2 linked regions of the Nothobranchius furzeri genome follow. The protein of the gene in region 2 purifies or fractionates together with the protein of the main gene of each other region. This does not show direct contact. Links are inferred from orthologs where the notes say so. Each region holds a gene or a part of one and is shown on either strand. Other genes may lie near its edges. The genes, in order: prkcq and ikbkb.

What was found.
Region 1: the proteins of ikbkb (region 2) and prkcq purify together in Homo sapiens (affinity purification with western blotting; 4 studies listed by BioGRID). This does not show direct contact. The link is inferred for Nothobranchius furzeri from reciprocal best matches to the Homo sapiens genes IKBKB and PRKCQ.

The regions. Positions count from the first base shown.
Region 1 is NC_091741.1:35,642,531-35,646,352, forward strand, and holds part of prkcq (protein kinase C theta type), read right to left. Parts: intron 872-3,822; coding exon 683-871; intron 529-682; coding exon 400-528; intron 1-399. UniProt on the Homo sapiens protein: Calcium-independent, phospholipid- and diacylglycerol (DAG)-dependent serine/threonine-protein kinase that mediates non-redundant functions in T-cell receptor (TCR) signaling, including T-cells activation, proliferation, differentiation and survival, by mediating activation of multiple transcription factors such as NF-kappa-B, JUN, NFATC1 and NFATC2.
Region 2 is NC_091757.1:55,657,904-55,661,725, forward strand, and holds part of ikbkb (inhibitor of nuclear factor kappa-B kinase subunit beta), read right to left. Parts: intron 536-3,822; coding exon 415-535; intron 34-414; coding exon 1-33.

The sequences.
Region 1 (3,822 bases), on a different chromosome or scaffold from region 2:
ACCTAGGCTAACTAAACAAGTGTACTGATGTGATCAGCAAAATTAAAATGTTCTACTCATATGAAAAACCTCACTCATCCTCACTTCCTCCTGAGAAACTCGTTAGGCTGTGTGGTCGCTACCAGTGATGGTGGTTTAGTCAGAGACCACCCTAACCTGGGTGATGGATGCACTGATGGAGGAAAGGCTTTCCTGCATGTCTGAACAGCTTCACAGATCAGACACAATAATATCGTTCCTGGAATTAGACAATTTCTAAAGAATTTATTTAGTTTTCCTTGGAAATGCTCTCAAGTTGTTTTGTTAGTGACGAGATGTTTATTGTTGGGATCTAAACAACTGCAGCACATCTTGACTGGAGATAAACGCAAGGAGTAGACAGGATGTTTTTCTGCGTACCAAAGTGGGTTTAAAGGGCGGCGCCACCTGCCGTTGCTCCACAGCCTTCCAGTCGACGCTGCTGAAGAACCCGTGATGTCGGATGTTGCCCTTCACGCCCAGCCGCTCCTCAGGCTCCCTCACAAACAGCTGATGGACGACACACCCGTTACACACCGGGCACCCGTGTCAGACACGAAGGGAAGACGGGAATAAATGATAAAACTACACATATTACAGCATTTATTCTTTAGCCTTCTCATTGGGCTGTTATACTTTTCTTATTTAACTCACAGCCCTTTACCTTGACTAGAATGTCCTTTGCTGCTTTAGTCAGCCAGCTGGGATAAACGGGATTATCTGTTCGGATGGACTGAAACAGCTCCTCTTCGTCGCAGCCGTGGAAAGGAGACTGACCAGTCAGCATCTCGTAGAGCAGCACGCCGAATGACCACCAGTCCACTGAGCTGTTGTACTTCTGACCCAACAGGATCTGGTAAAAACAAACACAAATATCTGGAAAAGCTGACGAGACACTTTCACTTTCAGCTGAGCTCAGGTTTTACGTACCGTTGGGTATTTTTATATCCTTAAAATAAACCACACAAGAGAAAGGATCAATAAGGTTATACGCTGCAGCGGAGAGAGAGGCGGAAGATGTGTGAATAGCAACTCGGCCAGACTCACTCTAACTCTCTCCCCCCACCACAGCGTTTTAATTAAAACACAGGAAAAATGAACAAAGAGCAAGTCATCACTGTCTCCGCTAGCCAATAACAGTGTTGTTTCTAGGCTAAGGCGGGACATTCCAAAAAGGAAGTCTCAATTTATGGAGTTGCCTGCCGACAGCCGAAAACTGCTGAGTCACTCAGAAACTATGGATTCCTGTTGCTGGGCAGATTATTCCACCAACCCCACACAAAGACAAACTACATGCCTTATCAGCATACCAGAGCAGGGCTGAAAGGAAAAAGCCCCGAGACTTACTTTACAACACGATTACTTAGAAAAGAACATTTAAGACAGTGAAATATATTAAAACCCTAACACGTACCATTAAAGCTGGGGTAGCTGGTTTAAATGAAGTAACTCAAAGTAAATCTGATTATCTACCCCTCCTTTATGGTACTGAGTAGATAACCTTTCATCATTTTTATTTATCCAGCTCTACAGAACGAATCATTTACGTGAATCTGGAATCGCGGATCACAAGACGGAGCTGTCAGTCAGCGAGAATGCCCACCAGTAGGGGTTGCATGACTTCATTTTTTGAAAAGTCGACAGTCAAGTAGTGAAAATCTAGTCGACTTTGGCGAATCATTGATGACGTCATACACCTGAAGCGGCTAAAACTGACGATGGGTGACCAAGCGTTTTTTTCCGACGCGCGTCGGGAGGCGACGCTCTGCTCTGCTCGCTTTTTGGCGCCCGAGGTAAAACGGAGATTTCACTGAATTGTGACCTTTACCCTCTTGCTATTTAACCTTCCCCTCACCCCATCCTAACCTTTACTCAGTATGTTAGTCTAAATTTTCCGTTAAGCGTGTTTGAGAGGAAGGATGAAACACGAAACAAAGTTTTGCTTGCGCAAGCTAGTTAATACGGTGGCCCTGAAGTGCAAACCACAAAAACAAATCATTTACCGCAACAACAAATTGAAACACGCAACAACGAATCACTTAATGCAAAAACAAATCACAAAACGCACAACAAATTGAAAAGCGCAACAACAAATTCATTAAATGCAAAACCAAATTGAAAACCACAAAAACAAAACACAAACCGGAAAAGGTAGGTACCAATGATGCAACAACAGGCATCACTGATTGGATGATGGATCCGTTGGCCTTTTGAACCGGAAGTTGTTCTGCCGAACGTGGTTATGTGAAAGAGCAGTCAGCGGGTGTGTCCGAATCCACAGGAAGGATGCTTGGAGTACGGGTCCTCGCCGGTCTAGCAAGGCCGGGTCCTTGCTAGTTAAAGTTAAAGTCCCATTAGTTGTCACACACACAGGTGTGTGTGCGAAATTTATTCTCCGCATTTGACCATCCCCTGGGGGAGCGGTGAGCTGCAGACACAGCCGCGCTCGGGAACTATTTGGTGGTTTAAGCCCCCAATCCAACCCCTTAATGCTGAGTGTCAAGCAGGGAGGCATTGGGTCCCATTTTTTCAAAGTCTTTGGTATGACCCGACCAGGAATCGAACCCTGATCTCCCAGTCTCAGGGCGGACACTCTACCACTAGGCCCCTGAGAAAGGTGGGTTTTACCCCCATTTGATGCAAAATAAGTTCTAAGGTCCAATTTACATTACATTACATTACATTAGTTGCCGCCACGGCTGTGACGGGACCTACGGGCCACCGTAGAGGTGAAGGCTAGACTGTCCGAATTCAGAGCCGCTGGGTTCCGGTCTTAGCGGTCTGGCAAGTACCCGGCCTTGCTAGACCGGCAAGGACCCGTACTCCAAGCATCCTTCCTGTGGATTCGGACACACCCGCTGACTGCTCTTTCACATAACCACGTTCGGCAGAACAACTTCCGGTTCAAAAGGCCAACGGATCCATCATTCAATCAGTGATGCCTGTTGTTGCATCATTGGTACCTACCTTTTCCGGTTTGTTTTTTGTTTTTGTGGTTTTCAATTTGGTTTTGCGTTTAGTGAATTTGTTTTTGCGCTTTTCATTTTGTTGTGCGTTTTGTGATTTGTTTTTGTGGTTTGCACTTCAGGGCCACCGTAGGTTAAGGTTAGGATGGGGGTGAGGTAAAGGTTAAATTGCAAGAGGGTAAAGGTCACAATTCGGTCAAATGTCCGTTTTACGGCGGGCGTCAGATACCGACGCGCAGGGGCACATCACCTGCTGCCTTTTCCGAGGACTCCATCTTGTCGGTCATTATCACGTGACAGCGACTAGTCTATGAAAGGCATAAAAAGTCACTACAGAGCAGTGAAGTCGACTAGTCGGCTAGTTGATACAACCCCTACCCCCAGTACCCAGCATGCGATACGGGGTTATGCCAGGAGAAGCTGGAAGTTTGCTTAACCCTCTGGAGGCAGGCGTTGCAGATTTGCAACGTTAAAACCTACCTACCTGGTTGTGGGCTCGATACACGGGAGGCGACAAACGACCGCAATCAGCGAAATGCGTTGCTGTCGTTTTTATTACCTGATACACGGGAGGCTTCACATAACTCTAGCAGCACCTTGTGAAACATCATATCTACCGCTTTTTTAAACTCTGAACCGCTTAAATAACCTTAATTCCCTCCAACCTGACACAGCCAATCAAAACAACAGAAGATTCGATTTCGCCACAGAACAGAACGCGTCGACGGCTTTGCCGCTGGCCGCTGCTGCGGGTCGCCTTACTTCTGATTTTACTTTATAAAAAAAACCCTGAGAATGGGTTCATCCCATATTACAAACCCAGAGAGGGCTTCTCTGT
Region 2 (3,822 bases):
CATTCCACAGCAGTTTTCCAGAATGTTCAGATACTGCAGAAACACACGTTTACGATCTGAGTAACATAAACTCGAGCAGAAAACACTTTTACTGGATTGTTTGTAATCTCTGAAGTTTCCTAATGAATTTAAAGTAGCTTTTAAAACTTCAAATGTTCATATCTAAGTCAGACTTTCTTTTCAAATTGTCACAACTGGATGGTGCAAAGGACTAAAAAGAATTTATACAAATCATCAACATGAGAACAGGTGGTAAACGCCAGCATAACGTTAGAAAGTATTCAGTACAAACGTAATAAAATCTGACGGGAAATGTGGACAAAAGTATAAATTCAAAACTAAAATAGAGACTCAACCCTTGTGGTAACAAGCCAATCAAATCATGCTTATGCACATGTTCTCCAACATCCACACCTTTCTCAAATCTCCGCCCTGACAGTACTCCATGGCCATCAGCGGCAGATCATTGGTGGCTACGAGTTGCTGCATCCCCTCGGGAACTTCTCGGGCTGCGACCACGTTAACATGATCCAACCTGAGAGAAGACACAACATCAGCGAAGTGAAAACTTCCTGAAAAACACTTCATGCTATCACCTGATGTAGAAACTTACTAATGTTTTACACAAAAAATTGTTTTTTTTTCTAAAATCATTAAACCTCTCATTCAATACATTTGCTGTGGTCTCTAGTATAAATGAATGCCTTATGAGTCGTTTCCTTTCGTAAAAAACTCTCAGGAAGTAGAAGTTAACCGGAGGAGTGGGAACAGAAAACAGCAGTTTGGTGTCTTACTCATTAATATTTACGATACTCAGACATCTCGCTTCTGATTTATTTTTCGTTTTACATGATTATATTTTATTACTTGCTTTGCATGTTCTATATAATTATACTTTAGCACACTTTTATTATTGAAATTATTATTTTACTGTCTATATCATTTTATTTATTACTTATTTTCTAATTGTTGTCATTTATATTAGCTCTTTTATTACATTTTTACTCATTTTAATCCAGTGTTTCCTCTGTGGGGGCCCTCTGCCCCGGGAGCGGTGGTCGACTGTAGCTTCCTGGGCGCTCTATAGGTGGGGGTCTATGCCCCCCCTCCACTGAGCGCCCTGACTTAGTGTGGAAGACCTGATGCTGCCGGGGCAGACGGCTCCTCTGATGGCGTTTCCTTGCGTCACCATACTTGGCTCATCTGGACTCAGCCTAATATAATTTTTACTTGTGTGTGTGTGAGTCTGTGTGTGCGTGTGCTTGCATATGTTTGTTAATGTTTTTAACCTGTTATGGGAATCTGGGGTCATTTTGTAAAGCACTTTGAATCACACTTTGTTTGAAAAGCGCTTTAGAAATAAAATTTGATTGATTGATTGATTGATTGGTTAACAGCAACACTACTCTTCCACTGCCTCCATTCACTCTGCAATGTTGATGATTTATCTCCACAGATAACACAAGACTAAAGGAGTTCTGCCTTGTTGTGGAGTTGCTAATGCTAACGGTTAGCGTCTACTAGCTAAGAGGCAATTTGTTCTCCCCTGGACACTAAATCCAAACAACCTCCCGCAATCACAAGCCGAGATGGATGAGTCCATGAACGGACAATTTAATGTAGATCTGTGTTGCTTTTTCTGACCCGCGCATCTCCTCGTCTATTTTCTATCAGTGGCAAATGCAGCAAATTGTGTGTAGAAAACAATTTTCACATTTACGCTGTGAGTGAAACTCATAGTGACGGGTGTCAAAAATAACAAATAAAACATGGTCAACTTGCTCTTTAAAGCTGCTTTAGTGAATCTACAGAACAAGCTAGGTTTTGAAGGTAAACCCGATCACGGAACACTCACCCCACCCCTGAGGTACTTCTGCCGGAACCGAAAACCCGCGTTGTCAGAGCAACTGAGATAGTGCTAAACACCAGTCGCTAGCGTTCTAGGTCCAAATGTCTGTTGTTGTCCGTGGATTTAAAAGGTGTTTTTCTTTTTGGGCCTCTGGTAGTTTGTTCTAAAGTTGAAGCGGTAGCAGCCGGCTGTTTCTCCTCCTCTGATATTATTGAACCATGAACCTCTCACACCAGTGGTGTTCTGTTGCTAAACTATCAAATGTGTAAAAGTGAAGGACTCAGGGTGAATGTGGAGGTTCTGCGAGACAGACAACCAGATGGTCTAATGGTTGCTTTGGTCCAAAACGTGTTATTGGTGGAGGTTTTATTACAAATGTGAGAGAACCACTTTATTAGGTATTTTTGTTGCTTATTTATCACCACAATATATCTGTAGCTACACTATGTTTTCCAAATTTGCTATTGCAGCTTTTAGAGACACAGGATTTAAACTAAAAGGAACAGCTGCCCTCTAGTGGCTGACTCCTGTATAAGCTTTAAAGAGCAAGTCACACCAAAATCAACTTTTTTTGCTGATAAACTATAAATGAGTGTCAAATATGCTGTAGACAGGTGTAGTCATTCGTTTTGCATTTTGGTGCATTTTCTTTAAAAACTCTAAATTCAGCCTAAAAACGTCACGTCTAGTTCCATCTTCAGCTTGAAACTATGCAAGGCATTGAATTTGTATCTGCATTAGCCAACGGCTAAAACGTGCAATGCTATGTCCCGCCCCCTTGATTTAAACAAATGGGACATTTTACAAACTAAAAATAAAAAACCTCAAGTAATTTTTTCTTGATGTTTACTCTTGTTTTTTTTTTACTTTTCTGTTGTTGTTCATTATTAGAAGGCAGAGACATTTATACATGTAAAAGAGAAAAACAAAAGCAAATTGCTTGCCTTACAGAGCAGTTAGATTGAAGAAAACTTTAAAGAGCAAGTCACCCCCAAATAAGCTTTTTTTCGCTGATAAACTAAATAAACGAGTGTCTAATCGTGCTGCAGACAGATGTAGTGATTAATTTCGCACTTCAGTGCATCTTAGTTAAAATTTAAATATTTTGCCTAAAACTGGCAGTGTTGTGCCGTTGTAAGGTAAAAACTCTGCACTGTATTTTAATTTAAATCTGCCACCGCTATTGGCTAAGAGGTATGCTATGATGTAAACTGGTACATTATGATGTCACAATGCTGTCGTGAGCCTGTGTGTGTGGGTATTTGTTAGTGGCTCCGCCTTCTCGGTCTGCCAGGCAACAGCATGTGTTGCATTTTTCAAACATGAAGTGAGAGTGGAGTTAGACTCTGGTAGGGGTTGACTTGCTCTTTAAAAGAAAATCACATTTTTTACCTCCTCAGGATCTCATGGTGTGTTACTAGGGCTGGGCGATACGACCTAAAAATAAAATCTCCAATTTTATTTTTTTGTATTTGATTTACGAATTTTTTTATGATTCGTTCCTCCTCAATTATAAATAATTGCAATAAGTACAAATGGAAGGCATCTTAAAGCCAATTTAGTTTTTTATTTAATCACAAGCAAGACAAATGTAACCCTCATTTCTGAATAAATGAACACCCTCTTGGAATAAAAGTGCCACGCTCCACGTACGTCGCAGCAAACCCAAACCAGTTCAAGGTTCAAGGTTCGAGGTTGACTTTATTAATCCCCCAGGGGGAAATTGAATTGCCTTGGACAAGTAAACACAACATGCACATCCACACAATAAAACATTCACTGGTCACTGCTATAAGCCACAATCATGATAAAAATATCAAATATACAATCATACGAAATGCTCATTGTAAAAACGCACTGCAGCTGGAATAAAAGAGTTCCTAAAACGTTCAGTGGAGCACCAGGGCATTAACATTCGCCCAATGAAAGAGCTCCCGAGATCCTTAAAAATGTGGTGAAGGGGGTGTTGTTCC